Oreochromis niloticus: one gene and its partners. The protein of the gene in region 1 purifies or fractionates together with the protein of each later gene. This does not show direct contact. Links are inferred from orthologs where the notes say so. Each region holds a gene or a part of one and is shown in the gene's direction. Other genes may lie near its edges.

Evidence for each region.
Region 2: the proteins of aifm1 (region 1) and otud1 purify together in Homo sapiens (affinity purification with mass spectrometry; 3 studies listed by BioGRID, with this or other methods). This does not show direct contact. The link is inferred for Oreochromis niloticus from reciprocal best matches to the Homo sapiens genes AIFM1 and OTUD1.
Region 3: the proteins of aifm1 (region 1) and ndufs5 purify together in Homo sapiens (affinity purification with mass spectrometry; 3 studies listed by BioGRID and IntAct, with this or other methods). This does not show direct contact. The link is inferred for Oreochromis niloticus from reciprocal best matches to the Homo sapiens genes AIFM1 and NDUFS5.

The regions. Positions count from the first base shown.
Region 1 is NC_031975.2:7,203,444-7,212,229, forward strand, and holds the start of aifm1 (apoptosis-inducing factor 1, mitochondrial), read left to right. Parts: upstream 1-4,886; 5' UTR 4,887-5,173; coding exon 5,174-5,261; intron 5,262-6,093; coding exon 6,094-6,224; intron 6,225-8,609; coding exon 8,610-8,730; intron 8,731-8,786. UniProt on the Homo sapiens protein: Functions both as NADH oxidoreductase and as regulator of apoptosis.
Region 2 is NC_031974.2:17,051,377-17,059,596, forward strand, and holds otud1 (OTU domain-containing protein 1), read left to right. Parts: upstream 1-4,855; 5' UTR 4,856-4,953; intron 4,954-5,631; 5' UTR 5,632-5,900; coding exon 5,901-7,262; 3' UTR 7,263-7,808; downstream 7,809-8,220. UniProt on the Homo sapiens protein: Deubiquitinating enzyme that specifically hydrolyzes 'Lys-63'-linked polyubiquitin to monoubiquitin.
Region 3 is NC_031985.2:10,022,036-10,030,365, reverse strand, and holds the start of ndufs5 (NADH dehydrogenase [ubiquinone] iron-sulfur protein 5), read left to right. Parts: upstream 1-4,504; 5' UTR 4,505-4,638; intron 4,639-6,005; 5' UTR 6,006-6,009; coding exon 6,010-6,225; intron 6,226-8,329; coding exon 8,330-8,330. Other genes in the region: E3 ubiquitin-protein ligase RNF19B, read left to right, coding at 1-219. UniProt on the Homo sapiens protein: Accessory subunit of the mitochondrial membrane respiratory chain NADH dehydrogenase (Complex I), that is believed not to be involved in catalysis. Complex I functions in the transfer of electrons from NADH to the respiratory chain.

The DNA.
Region 1 (8,786 bases):
TTTGACAGTTGACCTGCAGGGTGCTTTCAGGTGCTGCAAATGCTAATGCTAATATCGTTTTTTTTTTACGTGTTAAAGTTGAAATAAATATATTTTCTAAATATATATACATATAGACCTGCAGGGAGCCACATGCTCACCGTCTGATGATGAAATTTACTCGGTCCCTAGCAGGTTCCTCGATGTGGAAAGCATAATCCTAGACAAAATAGCGCTTGCCTCAGGGCAATATTATGTAGTTAGACCACTCTCCTTAGGGTATTAATCCTAAATTATGGTCTTTGGGGCTGCTTGTTTCAGATTTTTAGGTGCTTCCCTGCTCCAAAACACTTAATTCAAATGATTATCTTCGAATAGCTAGCTGTGTTTGAACAGAGATTGTTAAGAGGAACCTCTGCTAATATTCTGAGAGCACTGAGTGGTGGAATGTATATATGTTGTCTAGTTTAGTAGTCTAGTTTTGTTTGGATGCAAATTTATTACACACATGCACCAAACGTGCTGTGTTTCTGCAGAAAATGTATCCTCAAAAACTCACTGTGAAAAAAATGAAGTTGACATCAAGTGCTGATGAGCACTTTTCTCGTTTCCAAACAAGAAAAGGAAAAAACTGAGATTCTGGGTTCATCCAGTTGTCAAAGAAGACAGCAGCAGAGAGAATTTCATGGTTTGATCCAGGAGTTGAAGCTGTATCACTGACATCCGGCATCAGTTTGAGGTCTTGCTGGCAGAGTGGGCAACACATCTGAGGAAGCAGAGAAATCATTGCATAGAGCCAAATGACCCAGAGCAGTGTCTAAGGTAAAAATAGTATTATTTTAATGCTGCAGATTTGTCTAGTGAAATTACTTGGTCGGGGTGAATGGCTGCATTAAGAATACATGAGAATATATAAGAATACATGAGTCCAAAACATATTTTTAACACATGAAATTTTTGCACAGATTTTACACTTGCAGTGCGTAAAGGCCTTTACAGTCAGAATTCAAAGCATTACAGCATATGAGCAAAGGTAGTCCACATGTCATACACGTGACTTTGTTTATGAGATCTCAACCTGCATAGCGCGTGAGAACACACATCCACTTTGTTTACTTTCACTGGCAGTCATCCAGGAATCCACAGAACTACAGTTACCTCAGTAACTTCAGTTTTCCTCTGTATCCACTATTCCAACAATTTTATGTTTTTCTCTTGTGTTTGGTTATTATGCTTCTATTTTTGTCCAAGACTGTTTGCAATCATCTCGGAGAGAGGAGTACCAGCATCTCAACAGAGACTAAAACCAGAAACCCCATCTGTTGCTCTGAACTTCTCTAGATAGCATGCACAAAGAGCAGCACAGACCATTAAAGTCTGCAGGCCAAAAGACCAACCAGTAACCTGGAGGAGAACAAGGTGACAAACTCAGCAAAGTCACAGCATCCTACAAAGAGGAGTTGGATAAGCTGAGGATTAAGAACAAACCTGAAAATCACTGAAAGAGGAGAAAAAGCAAAAATGCACAAAACAGAGAAGAAACTTGAAAACGTAAAGACTTGTTGGAAGTCCAGAGAGTGCTAAAGGAAGAGAAAAGGGCAACGCAAGAGGCAAAAAAAGAAATTCAAAATGCAAAGAAGGAATTGTTGGAAGTCCAGAAAGCACTGGAAGAGAAGACAAGGGGACTGGAAAATTAATTGTTAAAGGTCAGTAAAGCACTCAAAGATGAGACGATTGACATGATGGGGATAAAGACAGATGGTAGACACTGAACTGTCACAGAAGGATGGGGGAAGAAGAAGAAGAAGCAGGTGAAAAAGAAGACAAACGAGCAGGACAAGAAAGTCAAGAACAAGAGCTGCTTCCAAAAGAAAAAACATCTACTAGTTACACAAACTTACAGGATACTGATGGTTCAACTCAGGGAGAGCGATAGCTTCCTCTTCCTCTTCCTCTCCCCTTTTTCCACTTTCCCTTTATCTTCTCTACCTTCACCACTCCACCTTTAATCCACTTCCTGTTTCTCCCCCCTTTCATCCTCCCTTCTCCATCCTCCCTCTACCACCTTCTCTCCCCTGGCCCTCCACTTCACCTTCTCTTACTCTCTTACTACCTTCATTATCCCTCTATCTCTTCTTCTTTGTCCTTTCCTTACCTTTGAAATGAAGAGTAATAATATATAATAATCTTCATCATCATAAGTGAATAAAAATCAGTCAATAAATAATCCTGTGTGTGTCTGCCTCTACTCCTGCTGGTTATGATCTAAAAAGGAATAAAGCTTTGAAGTTTATCAGTGTTTTTACAAGAATAAATTTCCTCTGCGGCTGTGATTGTCACATGAGCCTGAGATGAAGTGTTTCCTCCTTGTGTTTTCACAGATTTATTTCGATCTGATATTCGCTCGCTGAGTGCCTCTCCTTTTAGATAACCTGGGCAAAGCTTGTTGGGATTTACACCTAGAATCATTATCTGGGTCTTGAAGAAGAGGATATCCGAACATGCAACAATAATATTCACACCTAGGACCAGAGTCTTAAGCAGGAGGAGTAAGAGAATGAGACACTCTGAGCACATGAAGCCAAAGGGAACTTTCAATTTACAGTACTATCAAATCTATTGATATCATATTGAAATATATCCTAAATTAAAATGACACAAATAAGGCTATCACAAAACAATAGGGTATATTTTACCAAGCTTCACAAACAGCTGTGAACTCCTCATAAAAGTGTCCATCATATTAAACTGATGCTGGAAAATGCATCTGGGACTTTTAAGAGTTTGGAATTTCTTTAGTTCTTTCCATTTTCAAAGTGTTCCTGAATTTAAACAGGTGAAATGACAGAAAAGGGGATCATGTCCTCCTCTAATGAAGTTTCAGAGCAGCTTCTGGGGTTAAGGAGGATCAGGGCTGAAGAGAATCCCACTCAATGTGCACTTCCATGGCATCACCAAACCACAACCTGTGTAAAACTGTGATGTTACTGCATAAAAATCAAGAAATACTGATCCTCAGTGGCCAAAATACATTAAAAAAAAACAAAACTGTAAAAAATACCTCTGCAACATATTGGTAAATACATGAATACAGCAGGATTGTGATGCAGCAGTATTCATGTCATAACTTTTTTAAAAGGTTTTATGCAATCAGTTTATTATCATACATCAATTCCCGTGGTTCACCTAGGGTTGTCATTTTGAATGCACATGTGCAGTAGTTGTATTAATCTTACTAAATATTATTATTAACATTGATGGTGCATGGCAGGAAAAAAGAGGATGCTACCTAAGAAGACAATCTAGCTAAACTGGTCATTTTGAGTGGGGAAAATTGCAATCTGAAATCAAAAAACATGCTACACATTAGGAAATTACACTTTACATTGCAAGCTATGTTATAAAGTACCACCATATCTTTTTTGACATTTGTGTATTTGTATTTGTGGTAGCAGGGTTATATTTAGAAGGCCTGTAATTTGTGTGAAATGTTCTGACTTTATTATGTTACATACACACACATACATACAAACAAAGCAACAGAGGCTCGTTTTTTACTAAATGATCTTTTATTATATTAGGGAAGTAGTAACTTCTCTTGCCAGTAAAAAGAGCAACCCACCATTGCTTATTTAGGCTTTCTTCTCAAAAAAAGGAAGTACATCAATCCTTATTATCCAACACAAAGGTATTTCCTTGCCTTATAATTTACCAGCCAGCTTTGAAATGTGCAAATGACAAAGTCTTTCAAAATCACCATTATGTAGCTGATGGCTGACTATAGCATTCCTATAAACAGAATAAATCCATTTTACTCACCTGGACCCACAACACCAATGCCCTGGAAAAGAAGCCCCAGCAGCAGCTGCACTTCCTCCGTGTCCTGAGGAAGAACAACCTGGACCAGAAGCTGCTGCTGGCCATCCACTGCTCCTCAGCATGCTCTCCTACTGCCCGGGTGTTTGGTACATAGGGACCACAACTGAGAACAGGAAGGCCAGAACTGTAATTAACACTGCCCAAAAATGGAGGCCATTGCCAGATCCTCCTGTCTCAGGAAAACCAGGGCTATCACACGTCAACCCTTGCACCCCACCCACCACCTGTTTGATCCGCTGCCCTCTGGTCAATCAGGTCCTACACCTCCAGACTCACAAACAGCTTCTTGCCCTGGGCCATTCGGACTGTAAACAAACACTATCTCCTCACACCCACCCTTGCCCCCGCCTACTCACCCACCAATCTGAGTAACAGTCTTCACTTAGGCCACTCATACACAGACAGTATTCAGACCAAATCTTTTTCTTTGCACTACTTCCAACTTGTTATCTAATCTGTACCTTACTCTTATTTTTGTACATATTTCTCCTGTTTGTTATTCATTCCTGCTGTCTTACTATTTATATTTTATTTTGGCACAGTTGGCGTGGAGCACCCACAATTTCGTTGAACAGTGACAATAAAGGGCTATTCTATTCTATTCTATTCTATTCTATTCTATTCTATTCAACCACCAGAGGGTGATAAAACTAATTTCTAGAAATCTAGCCTACCACTCGTAAATTATGACAGTAAAAATTCAATGAAGATTTATTTATATAACTTACAATAAACCTTCATACATTCATTACAGCACATTATATTAAAAAGATTTTTATTTCTTGAAATTCTTTAAGTCATTAACTGCGTTAATAATATATAAATGATATTCATTAATATGTTTAAATGTGTTTTGCATGAATACACAACCTCATTTTGTGTTTTCATAACTTAAAACCGTTTTTCAACATTTTACTGTAGTATTACTTTAAATGACCTGCAGGGGGCAGCAGTAAACTCTGACTGCAGTTGTTTTAAGAAAGGAACAAGAAGGGGGTTCGAGCAGTTACCAAAGAGCCTTGAATGAAAGAGTTCAGTGTAGCTGCTACTTGCGATAACAGAGTTGCGGTCATTCATGTCCGGAGCGACGCCATCTTTCTTCTTCTTCTTTTTTAGGGGCGACCAATCTTAGGCGTCTTTACAGTCTTTACAATTACCCGTCATTCCCCAGAAACGTATGACCTGTCCCTGGCCTTGGTGTGTGGTGCCGTGCAGCTAGTTGTCAGTGTCTGCAGGCTGTTGGAATTAAATTAAGGGTAAACCGGCTTGTGTTTTTATCCGACAAGTCTGCGAGTAAACCGGGAGCTGAGCCACAATGCTGAAATGTAGGACTGTGTGGAAAAAGCTCGCTCCTTTGGCTAGAACTTCATCAACTCTGTGCCGGCAGAATGTGAGAAAAGCAGGTAAGTATCTAGTTACAGTAACTTGTCTTCCTGTTAGCTGACCTCGATTTGATCATGCACTGCCTGGAGCATGATATTACACAGCAGTAATACATTAACCCACAGGGGGGTAGCCCTGTTAGCTTAGCGCACGTAAACTTCAGCGACCTTTGGATGGTTATTAGAAAGCTAACTCAGCTAATTAGCGAACGTTAACGACGCAAGATGCCATTTCAGTAACGAGCTAACTTAAACTGGATCTCATTTCATTGATCGAAGCGCCAACGTTAACTGATAACGCCAGCAAGCATGTTTTTCACGTGTCTAGTGCTGGTACAGGTGTTACACCATGTTCTGTGCCCGTTTACGCTTTGCAGCGTATGCAAGGGCCCAGTGTTGGATTTGAATCATGGGGTCTTGCAGTCTCTGATGACCCAGAAAGGATAAGCCCAGTGCTGTGCAGTATGTAGGTTGCTAGAATGTACATTGATGATCATTGTTCTTCATAATAATATGTCACGTTATGTTTATTACTCTTAGAGTGGAAAAACACCTGCAACACAAATCAGACAGGTTTGCCATTGCCTCTATTTTATGGAAAAGTAATTTAAGGCGCTTTCCTAAACCCCAGAGGTGTGATGAGGGCAAGCACAGGAGCATATATTTCCTCAGTCCTTTTCCACTGTCAACATCCACAGATCTATTAAGCGTGTATTAAACAGGTAGCTACTTGGCAATTTTTTTTTATTAGAAGCAGGACTGAACCCTGATTTAGTAACGTTTGTGAACATAATTAGGAGTGCTGTAGCTTTGATCGGTGTTTAATCATGTGTGTGTTTGTTTACTGTTTCAGGTTTGAACAATGGCAGAATACCAACACACGTACCCACAGCTCACATGTCCAGTGGGCTGCCAGGGGGAGGTGGGGATAATCTAAAGTATGCCCTCCTGGTTGGAGCAGCCTCCATTGGTGGCGTGGCATATGTGAGTAAGCTTAGTTTATCATCATAGAGAGAGTGTGCAAATTTATTAATTGGAGCAATGATTTTCCCCCCTTGGGGTTTATTTCTGTAAATTGAACATTAAGGGCTGAGCAATATGGACAAAAGAAAAACAAATCTATATTTTTATGCTGAATGCAAATACAAGATATTTACAAGGCCTGCATATCTCTGTATTTTATATGGTAAATGGACTGATTATTATATAGCGGTTTTCTACTCTGACAGAACACTCAAACCGCTTTATACTAGAGATGGACCGATCCGATATTACGTATCGGTATCGGTCCGAACAGGGAAAAGGGGGCACAAAGACATACTTTTCTTTCTTATTCTCATTTAAAATACGTAGCTTTTAATAAATAATTATCTGAATCTTACACCCAAAGTTTTAATCTGATGTAAAATGTATAGAAGTCCATTACTATATATAGTAACTGTTAAGTCTATATACCCTAGTAAGCTATAGTACTTTTTCCTTTGGGAAGGTACCATCTGTGAATTCTGCAATTCTGTTGAAGAAAGATGTTGAATCTATTTAATTATTCTTGAAAAATAATTTGTTTCTGTGCATTTTTTTTCACCCTGCATCAAATTAAAGTTGATTACATCAATTAAGCATCATGAGGTGGAGGGTGGGTGGTTCCCTATTTTTTTTTTTTTTTTTTTTTTTTTTTGCTGGGAGTTTGCAACCCTATTAGTTAGGTTGCTTAATATTTCTGCTAAGTACTCTTTAAAATACCAGAATAGGGAGGATGGAGTAGGTTTAAGTTAGGTAAGGTTTATTAGATTGATCAGTGTTGCTGAACTATGAAATATTTTGGGTGCAGTGTATTTTTTACATACAGGTATAACAGAATAGCTTTAGTGTTGTTGTTTATTTAAACTTGAGTATGAACTTATACAAAATGCAGCAAGATATTAAAAAAAACAGTTTTATTGATTGAAAAACACACAATATCGGATTCATATCGGTATCGGCAGATATCCAAATTTATGATATCGGTATCGGTATCGGACATAAAAAAGTGGTATCGTGCCATCTCTACTTTATACAACATGCCACATTCACCCATTAACATCCATTCACACCCATTCACACAAGCACATTATTTCATAGGCAGTGTTAAAAGCCGCTGGTTTATGTTCTGTTAGGTAGGGATGGTTCAGTTTCTTTGAAGTAAGCCTGTATGAGGTTCAGATCCACAGGAGTAAAAACTAAAATCCATGTACTGCTGTGGACACAGTCAGCAGCGACATGAATTTTAGCCACCTGAAAGTACAGCTTTCACTGAAAAAGAAATGAAGCTGTTACTCTCCACCAGATTCCATTAACAAAAATAGTAATTTTACTTCACACAAGACAGGAGTTATTTGACCACTGCTGCAATGGCTGCTTTGTTAGTTTGTGTTATTGTGAGACTTTGAATTTTTAGTCGATGAGTTTTGATCCCACATAACACATTACAACACTTAATTCACGCAGTGTGACCTCCAACTTTTGTTTTCTGTGAAATAAAAGTTGTTGTTTTTGTCAACAGAGTCTGGTGTTTTTGAAAAGAACATGTTTTTGTAGTGTGTCATCTTAACAAATCAGACCTTTTGATTGTTTTCACAGATGCATTAAGTTAATGTATACTTTAGGACTATAAGTTATTAGTTGTTGGCTTTACTTAAGCTTGTTTGAATAACGGAGCAGTTATATGGATAGATTTAAAAATAAATAAATAAATAAATCAGTATAACAACCGTGATGGGAGTGTAGTGATTAAGCCTGTCACCTCCAGCAGATTCTGACAGCCAGCTGGGCCCTTCCTGTGTGGAGTTTGCATTTTCTCGACCAGTGTGGGTTCTCTGTGGGTACTCTGGCTCCCTCCCACAGTCCAAAGACATGCATGTTGGGTTATTTAGTGATTTTAATTTGTCTGTAGGTGTCGATATGAGCACGCACGCGTGGGTGCAGTTGTCTGTCTCTGTGCCAGCTCTGCGATAGACTGGTGACCTGTTTGGCTTGTAACTCGCCTGATACCCTCTGTGAGATGGGATATACTCCACTGCCCCAGCATATCCCAGATTGTGCATGTAATTAAGAAAATGGTTGCATGGCTATATCACCCAGTCCTAGTTTAAAGGCCTCAACCTGGAGGTAAAGATAGATTTTTCCATTTGGAAATCAGTGTTGATAAGTGGATGCACTCATTTTTCAGCTTGCATCCACAAAATCCTCCCTGCCTGTTTGCTCATACTCATGACTGAAAGATAACCGTTGACACCAGATATGACTGGCAAAATTGGACAGCTTGACAAAATGACGCAATCATTGAAGTTGTCAGTGACTAAACTTAGTCCATTTTTCTGTTTTTTACAGGCGTACCATACTATGAAAGGAGACCAGCAAAGATATCAGGCGCGTATCACTGAACTTTCGTCCAGATCACAAAAAGCAGCTGCCAAAGAATCAGTCACACCCATCCAGCCTCAGCCTCCCGGTGAGCAGCTTTTAGAAATGTTGGTTAATAAGACAACTTTCACCTTTACTGTTAAC
Region 2 (8,220 bases), on another chromosome or scaffold:
AAGGGGGGGACGTCACAAAAGCTAGCCTGATGCTGTGTCAGTTATAAAACCTGCCTCAACAAATACAAGCCAGGTCTATTCTAGACAGGCTGATAGCACAGCAACAATCAGCGTGTAAAAGGGGAGATTTTGTTTTGAAGAACAGGAGCGCTGAATCTGAAAGATTACAGAGTCTGTATTTTTTGTTTTTTTAAATGGGAGGCTTAGGATCTAATCAAAGTCAATCATGATCAAAGGAAGTGCTCTGAATTGCTTTCAATGTCAAGAGTATAGCCCAGGCAAACTGACGTGCTTTTGAACTGCTTTTAAATTTGTCCCATTTTCCATCTGGCATGTTATATATTACATTTTTAGTCCCATTTAGTATCTAACCAATACAAAACCTTAATATGCGTCCCTCCTCTTTAAGATAAAGACACAATGAGGTTTGTTAAAGACTGGCTCCTGTGATTTTAGGTCAATATTTACACCTGGACACCAGCACCTAGGCTACTGTACAGGAAGCCAAGCGGTCATAGCGAATAAAACAGGCCAGGATATTTATTGTACAACCGTGAGCTCCCGGGCAAACTAGTGGGAAAGAAGTAAGAAAGTTCCCAAGTCAAGAGTGGCCAACAGGATGAGGTAATTACGTAGGTTGGAGAGGCGAAGGGGGAGGGGAGACCTGTTGCAAATAAGCGTCTCCAGACTAAACAAAAGAATCCAGGGCTGCCTGCTCCTTTGTAGCGTTTCAAAAGTTTCTGCTCGCAAACAGCGACTTTGGCGCAAACTTTCCACCAGCCGAAATACGTCGCTTCCACAGAAAGGCCAGAAAAAAGACATTTTAACCCGAGAAATACGACAGTTTTTCTAAGTTTGAACAACTTGTAAGAGGGTTCTTTTGTGTGTGTGTGCGCGAGCGAGCGAGCTGCACCACGAGGTCCATGAATGTAACAAGGCGAGAGCAAGTTCCCACAATGAGGTCAGGATGAACATTAGCCTACATTTGGATTTTGGTCATATTTTCAAGGCGCTGGGGGCTGTTTCCGTTCGCTGTTCGTGACTAAAAAGATACAAAATATCGAGTTGGGGTTTTTTTTTTTTAAAGCTTACAGGCTGCCAAAATGTAACAACCCCTGAAGTCACAACAGTCGCACAACTTTTGACTAGTATCGACTATCACCACTTATCAAGAAACAAAAAAACTTCTTCACAAAAGTAGCTTAAATGAGGTTTCCACCCAAACAGAAAAAAAGCGAAAGCGTCTTTTAAATCATTCTGAAAGTTGTCCCAGTTTATACCGCGACTAGGACAACAACACACATGGCGACACAATCGTGCGTTAGCCTATTGTGTGAAAACTTGAATAAAGCACATTTAGATAACCTAAAACGGTGGCTAAACCTTGCTATTGTCGACTTTTGACATCGCGCCAACACATGGCAGAAAAAGCCCCCCTGTCACGTCTGGAAAGGAAACAATAGACTGCATGGTTTGCATATGAGGGAAACGGTTCTGTTACTCATTCTTTAACGCCGTCTCCGTCTAAAGTCGTTTCTTTTTTCTTCCCTTCTACTTTAATGTTATAAAAAAAATCCCACCTACCCTTTTTGGTCTTCATCTTGAAAAATGCCCGCTTATTCCTCGGCAAGCGGAGAAGACAAATTCTCTGTCAGAGCTGTGTTTTTCCCCCTAGATATCCCCAGCGTGTATCCGAAATCTCGAAAATCCTTGTTCATTAAAAAAACAATGCTTCTTTTCTCCCGTTTTAGATGTTCTTCTCTCTTCTAGTCGTCCTTCTTTGGAGACTTGAGGTGGCAGGAGAGGGGGGGTTGTGGGTTACCTGAGATCTCTGCGTCCCTTTCTGCTCAAAGCCCCTTTTCTCATTGACTGTGTGTTTGATCCTGAAACTGGGTGACAGCTATCTTTGACAGCTGCGTGACTAAACGCAAAGATCCTCCCACCACCAGTGGAGAACAGGAAAAATCTCTGACATCAGCATGGCTTGTTCCACTGACATGAATACAGTCTTGCTGAGCTTTAACGGCTGCAGACCCTACTAATAAAGTGAATATATACATACATATACATATATATACATATATATATATTATACATACATATGTGTGTGTGTATGCAGAAAGCGTTGTTTAGGCGGGCAAGCAAAACGACAACAATAGCAGACTGGGGGAAAGCACTGCGGACCTCGTGGTAACACCTACAGATTAAAAATAACTAAACTAACCGCAGTAATTTAAAACATATATATAGCACATTATTGCTACAGGCTATGCCGCATATTTCCGAATGAGCGTCGGTGTGTTTTTGTGGTGCAAGCTTCATCGCCTTATCACAGTCTGTGGTTTATCACCTTTCATATCGCTTGTTTACATCGTGAAGAATTACCTTGACGTACTTCCAACAGTAATTCTTCTGCATGCGAGTGCTTTTTAACAATGTGGCTTCGTATAGGCTGCTGCAGTGTGTTACAATAGGGGGCTCGTGTTGTGTTTATGGTAATAGCAGCAAATCTCGTGTTTATACTACTGTGCATCCCCCTCCTCCTCCTCCTCCAGTGTTGTCACTGTAGTAGCCCATTCTTCTGTATCCCTATAGATACGCGTGAAACGTGTTTCTTATGCGATATCGATGTCACCCCGATTGAATTGTAAACATTATATAAGGAAAAGCTGCCGTAATTTCTCACAGGAATGAGGAAATGCTTAAAAATACAGTGTGGACATGGGTGTAGCTGCGGGATATATTGATCTAACCTTGCAGCAGCTGGAGGTTAGTGCACCAGCTCGGCTTACTAAAGACAACAGCAGCACTGCGAAGAAAACGATCAATGCCTTCATTTGTATGCGGTGCACAACCATGCGACAGCTGCTGTAGCATCGTTTCTTTGCATGCATTTGTTCCAGACATGCGTTCAAGTGCTCTTTGCGGAAGCTAAATGTCGCCTCCGCGTGCGCACAAGCGGAACTGTACGTGAATGCAACGCGGCGTGCAGACACGAGGTCCTCGGGGTCCCTCTGGTGGTGATTTAATTGCACTGCAATTCAGGCGAAAATAAGGAAGGAAAGAAATTGCTTTAAATGTGGAAATGTTATATAGTCAAAAAAAAAAAAAAAGAATTTCCACTGATTTTACAATAAATACAATGTACTTATATTTACCTACAAATAATTAGCGCTAGATACTCTAGAATAAGGGTGTGATGATTAAAAGCTTTTACAAAAGAGAAGAAATAATTGTAATATAAACAATTTTAAGTAGTGTGTAATTTCTGGGTGTTTTAGTGGAAAAACCAACAAAATTTCCACAGCTTACATCGTAAATACTCTGTACTTTTAGGCACGCAGGCCGTATTGTGTACTGGCTTTACTTTGACTTGTTACATTTCTATTATGCATTACATTGGTGTGCATATTCGACAAGTCCTCTTGTATTACATGTGACAATGTGATGAAGACTATTTCTCCCGTTCCTAAATAAAATTAAACACTAGCAAACACTGCAGGACGTCTGCCCATGTGATCTTATTATGATGAAGCAAAATCAAACCTTATTTTTTTTCTTGGAAATAATGTTCAACATACAACCAGAACTGTGAGAAAACAAAACAAGAAAAATGTATTAATGTGAAAGAAGAAAGACTCCCAAAGAATAATTTGGGTATTATTTATATTAAACACAAGAGAAATGACAATAAACTTTTCTTATTAGCTATGAACACTTTTATTTATGCTTTTCAGTTTTATTTCTCTTTGGCTCTTTTTCGTATTTTCTCTTTTCTGCTTTTTGGCCCTTTTATGATGAAGATGAATATGAGGAGAAACAGGACAGGTCATTGGCCCTTCTCTGATGCATCTTAAAATACCTGGAAATTATGTACTACATAAAATTACTTAGAGTATAATTTGTGTCTCCTTTCGTGTCAAATACACTAGCCAAAATGAATGTTTAATGTGTAATGATAGTATAATGATTGATGTAAATACTTGAATTATTACCTCCTTACTCTGTTGTATTTGTAGGTTAATGGAATTACATTGTAATTTCAGGTCAAATATATGGAAAGTCAAGGGGAATTTCACCCTTAGTCACAGGCTGTATTATAAAGTGTTATTATGTTTCAATATACTATTACAGCATATCAAAACAAAACAAAACAAAAATAAACAGTCAACTTTACTGATTATTAATGTTAATGTTTTGTTTTGTTTTTGTTGCTATAAATGAACACCCACTCACTGAAGTAATATCTTTATTAAGCTCTCACATTCTTATCAAACACAAGCAGCGTGAGTGTGTTTTCCAGCTCAGTCACTGTTAAAAATAGAGACGAGTAAGTTTGGCAGGCCAAAGCCACTACTGTCACATATTAGGTATGCTTCCCATCAGTTGTGACATTAAAATAGATCAAATGATTTCAAAACAATATTTATTGATTGGCTGATTTTTGTAATTAATAATAGCAGTAATATTAATAGTCATTTAGTCTGATAGACTAGCTGTACTTATGACTAATTTTGAACATTGAGCATTTCATGCTTTCTGTATAATCAACACATTTTGAGTCATTTCTTTTTTTAATATTTACACTTACTATGACGGGAATTCAGTGGTGATGTAAGACGACAAATAAAGCTCAGTGTTTGTTTTATACTTTCCAGACCGAGATAACACTTCACTTGTTTAATGAATGTTTTTATGTTTATTTTGAAGGATTAATAACAAGAGCCACATAACTCTGTTTAGAGGGAAAACAAATGTAAAACGCTGTGTTTAAAGAATAGACACGATAATTAGCTGAGCGGTAGCTCCGCTGCTTTACTGTTGTGTCACTCGACTCATTTGACTGTGACGCATCAAATCCTTCACATTTGTCCACGAGCGTCGCGGCTTCAGTCAGGACGACCGTGGAGAGCTGTGTGAAGTTACAGACAGCCACAGCTGTACAGGAAACTGGTGGGTTTTTCTTTCAAAATAAGATTGTTGTGGTTCAAATATGGTTCACAAAATGATGAGGCTCATTTTGTAATCTGGTAAATTGTTCCCATATCCGGGATTTATGGCGGACTGTGTTTTTCTTTTGTTTCAGTTCATTCGCAATAAATCAATAAATAAAAATCACAGGCCTAGTTACACTAAAACTTTGCGAACATCTGCTTTAATTAACGCTTTGATATTCTAAAGCGAGTAATTGGATGTGCTGTTTTTATTTAGATTACCATGTTATTTGACGTGATCATTTTATTTCAAGTCATCGTGTTAGTAAAGAGGAAGAACGTGTATTTGATGATTAGGTGGCTATTTGAATGAAAGCAACACCACAATTGAATTTTTTGAAAGTAGATTAAAACCCAGTAAACATGTGGTATTCCAAGTGAACTAGTTATGAGACTTCTTAAAACAGAAAAATAAAAAAGTTCACTATTTTGTAAGGATTTTTTTGCACTTTAAAGTTAAAGCATCTTTTCCTGTTTATCAGCATGAAACATTTTTTAAAAGTTTGTTTTTTTAAAGAAACTTTTGCTCATTGCTGTAAAACAGTAAAACATGATCTCGCATAACGAAGGCGCACGTGTGCGTAAACCATGAATTTTATTTTGAAATAATTCAACTGAAAAGTGTTTTTTGGTTTAGCTTCGTCGGACTTGATATTGTCGAAGAGGACTGGGTCCTGTTACAGTTTGGAGTCTAAAATTAGGGAGGCACCCCAACTGCAAATGACGCAAGAGGGCTAAACTGGACAGTCTAGTCGTCTCTGTGTGTCAATGACAGCGGGACTCAGGGCATGGAGACCTTCCCTACAACTTTGCTGTTGTTGATGACATGGAGAGTATTTTTAGCTATTGTTGTCATCTTTCCGTAACAGCCCAGCCGCGCCGTTCAGTATAAAGGACTCTTTCAAAATGCAGTTGTACAACAGTGTGCTGACACACTACCCGAGGTCGTCTCGCAAAGTTACAATAACTTTGTCGACCGCTTCTGCGCGTTTGAACGGGGCAAGTTCCTCTGAGGCTGACAGGCCGGGATTTACTCAACCAGACGCAACTTCGGCGACCAACAGTGATCCGGTGAGCGAGTCTGTGTCTTCCGCAAACATGCCTGCCTTGTCGTGTTACGAAGCTTCAACCATGAGGCCAATTTACTTCACCTCGACTGCTGAAATTTTAATCCGGAGACCTGATGGAGTGGAGAGGTCTGTGCCTGTGCATGTTATGAGGGAGTCCAAAGTCAAACCACCTTCCCCAGACTCTCATAACGGTGAAACTTTACTCTGTAATGACTGCGACTCTGATGTGATAGTGGACTTGATGGATCATTTGAGCAATGGGACAGATGAGCTTTTCCCAGACTGCCCAGAATTCACTGGAAATCAGCTTACCAACAGCAACAACACCAGTGGACCCAGAATAGAAGAATACAAGAGGATGGTGGAAACTTCAGGTGGGGATGATGGAATTTCACTGACTATTACCCCCTTCAGAAGCAAAGAGTGGGCCTCACTGAAAGACGAGGAGCTCGTTCCCCCCAAGGCAGTACAGCCTAAGGGTCTCATAAAAGAAGACTTTAGTTTAATGAACACGGCCAAAGCTGCTCCAGCATCAGAAGAGAGACGGGCGTTTGAGCTCAGTGTTCTGCAGGAGTCCCCTCCACAGAGAGTCCAGGAGAGAGGGGAGATCAACGACAAAGTCGCCCGATACCTGGCTGAAGTGGAAAAGCAAAATAAGTACCTCCAGGAGAGGCACAAATACAGGTATCAAATCATTCCAGATGGCAACTGTCTGTACAGGGCTGTGTCTAAAGCCACATACGGGGACCAGTCGAGACATGCAGAGCTGAGGGAGCAGACGGTGCACCACATCGCTGACCACCTTGATGAATTCAACCCTATCATTGAAGAGGATGTGGGGGAATTCCTGATCAATGCAGCGCAGGACGGCGCTTGGGCCGGTTACCCCGAGCTTCTCGCCATGAGCCAGATGCTGAATGTCAACATCCACCTCACAACAGGGGGCAGCTTGGAGAGTCCCACTGTCTCCACCATGGTGCACTTTCTTGGAGAGGAGGATCCTTCCAAACCGGCTATCTGGCTGAGTTGGCTGAGCAACGGTCACTATGACGTTCTCTTGGACAGGTGTCTGCCCAACCCAGAGTATGAGGACTGGTGCCGAAACTCGCAGATGCAAAAGAAACGGGACGAGGAACTGGCAAAGTCGATGGCAGCCTCATTATCCAAAATGTACATTGAGCAGAATGGGTCTGTGTAAATGAAATACAGCGCATTACAGAGGAATAGAGATGAATGGTTCTGCTTTGTTTCTACGTGCTTTAAATTATTATTTTTTAAGGATTTTTTAAGGAGCAAAAAGACGTGCAGTGCACATACTTTGGTTCATGTCTATGCCAGCGTTTTGAAATTAGCACTAGTTGTCTCCGAAAGAGTTTGACAGTGTGTGAGTCTGTTCTTGATAGTTTGGGTGATGCTGACACGAGTGAAATTCTCTAATGCCGTTCAGATGTGGCTGAGTGCTTTTGGAGTGTACTATTTTTATTTGCCCTCTCTCAGCTGACCAGTTATTATTATTTTTTTGTCGTGCTTCTCATGCTTTGGCAACTGCCCAATATTTTCAGACAAAGAGAAATCTGGTTTGCATTTTCCATGTGTTTAGCTACTCATTTGCACAAAATTCCTCTAAGAGTAGTTCACAGTTGGTTTGTGTCTGCGAGAATGATTCAACGGTTCATTTTCCATTATTCCAGTACTTTTTAGACATTTGACAAAGAATTTCAAAATAAAGTTAAGAAAAAACTAACTTGCAGTGGCTTCATTTTTAATTTACATGCTTGTTGTCCCGCTATTTGTTTATCGCCTACATTTTCATAAATGTGTTATTCAGCTTTAGCGATATCCACTGTTTCATCTTAGGTGTAAGGCCGTCCATAACCACCACATCACCACCACAGTTCATGCTGCAGTCATCCTCCACTCACCGGTGTCCTAAAGTGAAAAGTGATGTTGGGAATTTATTACATGTAGTGACCCTGCAGCCTCTCATTCAGGTCAGGCTGCAGAACTCGGTGTATTAAGGGACCACGGCTTCAATACACAGAGTACAAGGGAATGTGCTCTGTGTACTGAGCTACGTTAAAGCTTAAGTAAAGGGTGCACAGTCACGGTATAGGCCAAAATGTCATTTCTGCTGTAATTGTTTTGTTTTTTTTCAA
Region 3 (8,330 bases), on another chromosome or scaffold:
CTGGCTCAGCCGGAGAGCATCCGCAGCGACCTGGAGATGTCAGACACTCAGTCAGACGACATCGCAGAGCTGACGTCGGACGACTGCGACTCTCCTCACCCGAAAAGCTGTCACCCGGCGGCCGGCCAGCAGCCTCAGCCCCCCTCGTGCCGAGCTGTGAACCCCTCCACCGAAGGCCTTCACTGTCCTGCAGACAGCAACGTCATCCTCTACGTCTGAGAGAAAAGCAGCTCTCAGGATTGCACAGAAACAACCCCGAACATTTACATTTAAACTTGTCACAGCTTTTTTTTTTTCCTCGTGTCATCTCTCGTTTGCTGCTTTTGCGACTCACAGACACCGTCTTAAACACAGACAGCATCTGTTTACGTTGGTCTGTCTGTCTTCTCTTTCTACCTGCCAATCTACTCTCTGAGCAAATTGTCAGGGTTCTACCTCTGAGATTTATAAGATGATGATTTATGTTTACTCCTTGGTGCAAAATGCCTTGGCTACTTAAGCAAAAAAAAGAAAAAAGGAAAAAAAAAGAGAGAGCAAGAAAAAAAAACAAGAGGTACAAATTTTCCACGGGAACTGAAATTATGAAATACGGTGAAACGTCACCAAGCACAGCAGAGAGATGGTGATTGCTGGGAAAGCAGAGGAGGCTTGCCGAGGATGAGGAGGGTGTTTTTAAAAACGTGTGAATGAATGTGGACTTCGTACTCAGTTATTGTGGCTTTATTTTGACAGTTTTCCTCTATTTATATTCGGACGACCTTGAAATTGTATTATTTGCGGTGTGCATGAGTCTGCATGAGCCATTCCTTGTGTGGACGGTTGTAAAAGGGCGGCAAGTTTCTGTTACACTTGTGAAAGTTAAAGTTTACTTTGGAGGATGAAGCTGCACTTGAATCTCGCTTTCACTGCACAGAGGAGGAGAGGGAGGAGGAGGAGGAGGAGAATGGACATAGAGATTAAAAAAAATAAAAAATAAGGGTCACTGCTACAGAAGTAAACGACAGAGTTCTGACAATGCCATGACAGATCCTGGAAGTACTGTGAAAAGCACGGCGAGAAAAAAAAGACAGCCCAGTGTGAAGGTTTGTCTGCTTTCCACAAATCAGCACTAAACAAGCATTGAACATTTCATGAATAAAGCTCTGTGAAGCTTTTTTATAGGCAGGAATGTATCGTAAAAATGGAAAAACAAAAAAGTCCTGCTGGTTTCCTTTTTTTTTCAGTTACATTTATTTATAACCTACATTAATGCAGAAAGCGATACAGTTGCTTCCAGGCTGCCTATTCAATGATCAGTTGTCTCTATTACACATGCTAATGCGGCGAAGCAATTCCAGCTAACATTCTGCTAGCAGCTAGCTAACAGCAGAACGCCACGGCGTCAAAGCTGGCACAAAATAATATGAACTTTTTTGGGGGGTTTTTTACCTAAAAAGGATTAAATAACTTTATTAATCGGTAAGACTTCACCTTCACTTCACTTCAGACACTTGACCTGAAAAGGCGTTCTCCTGTCGCTGTCAGAACTCTGTCACCGTGTGGTTCTGAGGTATGTCACATGACCAAGTTAGTGTTTTACAATTGGCTGTCTGCCTGCCTTATCGACACTCGCTGACCAACACAACAGCACACACCCGTTTGGGAGGTTTTGGTTTCTGACGTGTTAACTGGCTGTCGGGCCCACTTGAATGTTGTGTGTTGTGCGTCTGTGTGAATGAACTCCCGATGAATGTATATGTGCGTCCCACTTTTATTTTATTTTATTTTTTTGAATGAGCACTTGTGCACTTTATCTGAATTATTGTATTTATCTTTTCTTTTTTTTTGCTATTCATCATCTGTTGCGATAAAGTGAGTTTACTTCAGTCTGTGGTACAACCAAAATAAATCACCTACCAGAGGGCCTTTTATGTTGGATGTAACTAAAGAAGAGTTTGGCTCCAAAAAAAAAACAAAAAAAATATATTCATTGTCATATTTGTCATTCAGTATTTTTAACTTCAATGACATTTAAGGTGTTTTTAATCAATTTTGTGATGAAAATACTGTAATTTTTTTGTTTCTTTTTTTTATATTCTGTAATTTATGTTGTTCTAATCATTCATACAAGTCATTGTGACTTTTGGAGCCAAACACTTTAAATACTGATGCCGATAAGCTTTTCTTAATCATAGCTTGACTTGTTTCTTAGCTTTGTATCACCTCTGTGCTTCTGTTTTCTAAACAAAAGAAGAAAAAAAAGAAAGAAAAACAAAAGGTTTCCCCATCAGGTTTTTCCTTGAACCTGTGAGGAATCAACCCGGGAGCCTTTTTCATCTCAGAGTAGCTTTATGGATTTAGCTGCTTATGTGATTTGGCAGTGCTTTGTTTGGTCTACACTTATCACTAGTTTTTGCCTGCCTGCCTCTGAGAAACCACATGAATGTACCACGGATGGAAACCCCAACTTCCTGAAAGAGTCTAAATGAGTGTTAAAGGATGGATATAGGTGGTCCTGATCTTATTTGAAAGGGTTAGCATTTATAGATAGCAATATTTACGTGTTATTATACTGTTTGTGTATTTCCTGTCACTGTTAAAAGCCCCGAAATTGTGTGGGGATGGACATGCAGGACTGTGAAAGACAACTTGTGGACCTTTGGGGACAAAATAAATAAACACAAACTGATGTTGCACCAATGCAGTGACTTGTTGTTGATCTGTTATGAATTAGAATCGATTAGAGCAAATGAACTTATTTTATAAATGTGTCAGACGTGAAATCACTAAAGAACTTTTGTGGCTTTTCTTAAGATTTACATATCAGACATAATAAAATATCATCTGATCCTCAGCAGGTCTTAAAATCATTAAATACAACTTCAAACAAGCAACACATGACATATTATATCCTGTCATTATTTATTTTATAAATTAAGCCAAAATGCAGAAACAGTGTGCAAATAAGCTCATGCTTGCTGCTACCATGTGACTAAGATAAGTACCCAGGTGCTGCTATTCAAATGCACTTGACTCTCTAACTTTGTCTCTGATATACTTGTTTCTAATCCTGTCCATTCTGATCAAGCCAACTATAATTTCACCATCTTCAGCTCTGGCACCTTGAGCTCCCCATCCTGCCTTTATATTGTCCAAATCGTAAATCGGGGATGTCAAATATAAGGCCCGGGGGCCAAACTCGGCCTGACGAAGACTCCAATCTGACCCACTGGACGGCTTTGAAAATTGTAAAGGAGGGCAGATTTCAGCCTTTATTTTAAGTTTTACAGCTTTTCTTGTTGATAAGGAGACGTAACCCACGCCCATTCCTACTACACTAAAGTAATTAAGCAACAGATCATTATCGGCTATAAAAAGTTCTGTTTTCCCACAATGAGTCCAAAGTTTCAAAAACGAGGAAATCTTCTGTGTATTTCCAGAAACTATAATTATAATTAAAGTGCAATCTGGGCAATGAGCTCCCATAACTATTTCTGTCATTTTATGCATTTATTTCTTACAATTTAAGCCTAAAGAGCTGTGCTGACACATTTATTTCATTTACCATATTTCTTTATTATGTAGAAAAACTAAGAAATACTGTTATACAGTTGTGTGGGGTTTTTTTCTCATATTAAGATAGCTCAGCTAATTCTCTAGTTAAACTTGCTTTTACTGACAGAAAGTTCAGTTTCACTGGTACGACCCACTTGGGCTGTAAGTTTGACGTCCCTGCTGTACATCACAGCAGGTCTCCCTCCCTTGAACCTTTGCTTTCACTCTTGCAGCTGTCTTTCTGTACAAATCACCCCTGAGACTCATCTCCATCGACTCCACCCTACACTTTCTTCTTCATCTCTCTTGTGCATTATTGGTTGCTTTGGATGATTGACCCCAGGTATTTAAACTCATCTACCTTCATCTACTCATTCTCCTTGCATCTCCTGTTATATCTGTCTTCCTCTCATTCATAGACACGTATGCTGTCTTGCTTCTAATGGCTTTCACTGTTCTTCTTCTCTCCAGAGCAAACCTCCACCTCTCCAGGCTCTCTTCCACCTGCTCCCTATTCTCAGTCCACGGTGCCTCCTGCCTGATCTTATCTGTCAGCCTGTCCCTCACCACTGCAAACCAAAATCTCACCCCCACCTTGAACTCATCTATAACTCTTACCACTCACCTGACCACTGTCTCACTGTCCTCATTCACATCCTGCACCAGCCTCACATATTTCTCTGCCACTCCTTACTTCCTTATGCAGCTTCATTCTCTCTTGTAACCCTATCATATGCTTTATCTAGAGCCACAGAGAAACAGTGTAACTTCTCATAATCTTCTCTATACTTCTCTCAAAAGCAACATTGCATTAGGATTATTATCTTTATTATACTTTATCATGTGCTAATATTATACTTTATCAAATTCATCGAATTTATTCTGAAAAATCGCTAAACTTGCTGATTCAACACAGCTTTGTTAAATTGCTAACTAAAATGTAACTGTACTTTTGAGGCCACACCAGCAGATGGCAGTGGTGCAAAAGAAGGGCAGATGTGTTTCCACCCCAGTCGATCACTTTACGGCAGTGTTTTTGTTCAGCAGCCGTAAAGCGGGGCGTGCAGAGTCGGAGGAAGGTTAAAACGCCTCGAAGAAAACACGGTAAATACAAACATTTAACGAGAATTAGCGACACGTAAGCAGGCTGTGGACGTGTTTGCTACATCGCAGATTTTATATGAAGTTTGAAAATTGCGTTAGTGCGCAAATATTGTGAAATAAACGCGGCCTGTGATTAGCATGGCTGGCTGTCATTGAAGGATAATTTCAACAGCAGTTTATATTCACAAAATGTGACGGATTCACTTCAACAGCCAGAACTACTTCATACATTTGTTATCGTTAATTACAGATACGAAGATTTTAATTTATTTTATTTTTTAATATTTTTAAAATATGAAGTTATAATCGTTCGTTTGTCGTTCACTAACAGTCCAGATTTTTTCCATGGCTCTGTGGAGATGTAAGGATGATTAGTCTGCTTGTAGTGTAGGCAGTGAGTCTGAGCTGCTTTACTCAGCAAAAGTCTGTTTATTTTCCTGTAGTTTATTAAACCAGATTTTTTTAAAAAGTTTGAGCCACACTACATTTATAATTTTAAGGTGGGCAGGGTGGAGTGACTGGAGATGAATGTCGGGGGTGATTTGTGATAGAAAGAGTGAAGAGGACCGTTTGCAAGATGTAGTGAGACCTGCTGTGTGTGACTTGAAGATGGTGACAGGTGGTCGAGTTGAAGATGTTAAGTTTAGAAATGAGTACATCAGAGGGACAGATCAGTTTGATCAGTCTGGACAGAGAAGCAAGGCTGAGATGGTTTGGGCATGTGCAGAGAAGAGACACTGGATTTATTGGTCAAAGAATGTTGAAAATGGCGCTCCCAGGCAGGAAGAGAAGACATGTAGAGGAGGTTGCTAGAGGTAGGGTGAGAGAGAGAGATAATCCACTGTTTAAAACTTGACGAAACACTAAAAGTTAAGTAGACAGCTTTTTATTTTGATGTTGTTGATATAGAAATAAAAATTCTCAAATTACTTGAATTACTGTCCTCCTTTAAATGGGGCTGTACTTCATGGTAGTGCTCTTATAGTGGCAGATGTTTAAAGACTACAGTGGCCAGAAGAAGTTTTTTTTGATTGTTCTTCTGCTTTTTATTATTTCTTGTGTAGAGAAAAAAAAATACATTTCAGAATGTCTTGAACTACATTTAAAAACTCATGAGTGCTCAGTTTTTATTAAAATCCTTACTTCTGCCTTTATAGATATAAAATACTGTAGATCCAAGTACCTGTATACTTATACTGATATAAGCTAATTAGTGATTACAGTTACTGATATGTATAGAGTTCTGTTAGACCAGCTTACAAATTCCAGTTTTAATTTGTTAAGTTTCATTTTATATTAAAAACTTAAAATTTGCCCTGTCCTGCCTCACTTTAATCACTTTCGGTCCTGTGCCTTTCCTCGTTCAGCATCATGCCGTTCGTGGACCTGCAGTCGCGGCTCGGTATCAACTTGGACCGCTGGCTGCTGCTGCAGAGCGGAGAGCAGCCCAACAAGCGGGCGGCACGCTGCCACGCCTTCGAGAAGGAGTGGATCGAATGTTCTCATGGCATCGGGCAGACCCGTGCCAAGAAGGAGTGCCAGCTGGAGTTTGAGGACTTCTACGAGTGCATGCACAGGCAGAAGACGGTAATCTGACTCCTCATACTCGACTGCTTCTGTACAAATTGCACTGGTTTAAATAATGGCTGCTGTATTATCAGAAATAACAGTTAGATACTAAATTAATCTAATTTTAGAGGATAGTTGTAATGAGCTAGAACTGTAAGTTATGTCTAGTTCCATTAAGAGGATGAATCTTCTCTCAAACTGTTAAAAATTAACACATCACCCGATCTCACCTCCTCCACACCACACTTAGCATGACAGCCCATGTGTTGTTGGAACAGAGCTCTTTCACTGCAGTTTATCTGTATATTGGGGGGAAAAAAATCAATGTGCTGTTAGTCAATTATGCTTGCTGTTTTTCAAAATTAGAAATACTAATTTATTTATTTTAACAGCCTCTGTGTGTGCTGCTAACCTGTTTATAGCACACATTTATTCACAGAGCCACCATGAAAACAAGTTCAGACACAAACAAGTGTTTTCATATTTATCGGTTGTAAAACAATTAAATGTGAATGTGTAAGGCAGCATTCAGTATCTTTTGAAAATGATTCGAGTCAGGTTGATACAGCTCCTTATTTAAGAACAGTTCCCATTGATTTCTTCCTCTATGAATATTGCAGCTTTCAGCCATTTAAATAAAACATGAAGTTGCTGATCAACTCCTTGCTATCAAAGTTGCATCAATAAGAACATAATTTCTTCACACTTCCAGCTTTAATTTAAGGGGTTTAACAAAACTATGGCATTAAATGGCTCTCACAGCTCTCACTTTGGATGTTCACGTCAAATCTTTGGTTCAGTCCTGCTTTTATCACTTAAGAAACATTTCCAAACTAAGCCCCATTGTTGCTCGCACTGAACTGGAGATTGTCATTCATGCTTTCATGTCATCAAGACTGGACTGCTGTAATTCACTGTTTACATGTTTAAACAAAATTTCTCTGGAGCGTCTGCAGATTGTTCAAAACGCTGCAGCAAGACTTCTGACCAAAACATCGAAGTACTCACATGTGACACCGTTGCTAATACAGCTGCATTGGCTCCCCGTCGAATTCAGAGTCCACTTAAAGATTCTGGTACTGACTTATAGAGGTCTCTTAAGTCATGTGACCAGGGTCTACTTATCATTCATCATACAAAGCTGAGAACTAAGGGAGACAGAGCTTTTGCCACGGTGGCTCCCAGACTGTGGAACTCTCTCCCACTGAGCATAAGATCTCTGGACTCAGTAGCTTCTTTCAAAAAACAACTAAAAACACATCTTTTTAGAATTGCATTTTGTTAACTGTTGTCTGTTTTGTTTTATACTTTGTTATCCTTGTGTGAAGCACTTTGTGATCTTTCATCTATAGAAAGGTGCCATATAAATAAAGTTTTACTTACTTAATTCAACAAACCAGCCTATTTTGTCTCAGTATTTGACATGTTGGCATCTCTGTTAACCTTTGTAGCATTAAATGACTTGATTCTCATGCAGAGTTTGAATAATAAGAAAACTATTTAAAAAAGTGAAAGAAAAACTAGTGTCCATGTCAAATCTGCAAAGTAGTGTAGTTAAACTGAAGTCAGCATGTCTGACAGAGTGGAGGAGTCAGCAGAGGACAGACTGACAGCTTTGGGTGGAAGTGCAGCAGCAGCACAAAGTTCAGACTCTTGCTCTTTGCTTGTTAGCCATGTGTCATCATTTGAAAACATGACGGAGCAGGACGAAGTGCTGATTCAAGATGCATGTCAGCTTCGGCCTGAAGGTTTCACGTCAGATTTGCTTCCACTGAGGACATGTTTTAAAGATTACCTGTGCAGGATCTTTATGCCAAATTTTAACATCAGCATTCATTAAAACAGGCCGTTTGAGATGTTAGAACATCACTCAGAGGAATGCCTGCATCTCTGCTGAGTGCATGTGGACAGGAAGCTGCTGCTTTTACAGAACCGTGGTCGGGACTGTAGAGCCAGTGGAGCTAAAGCTTGTGGTGTTTAACAGTGACACATGGTGCAAGGAGTAAAAGATGGTGGCAGAAGAACTATATTTTTTTACTTGGAACTGAAAGGTGACACAGAATACCCTTTATTTTGTATTCCTGTTATATCTCTCTCTCTCTTCTCCCCATCTTCCCTGCAGC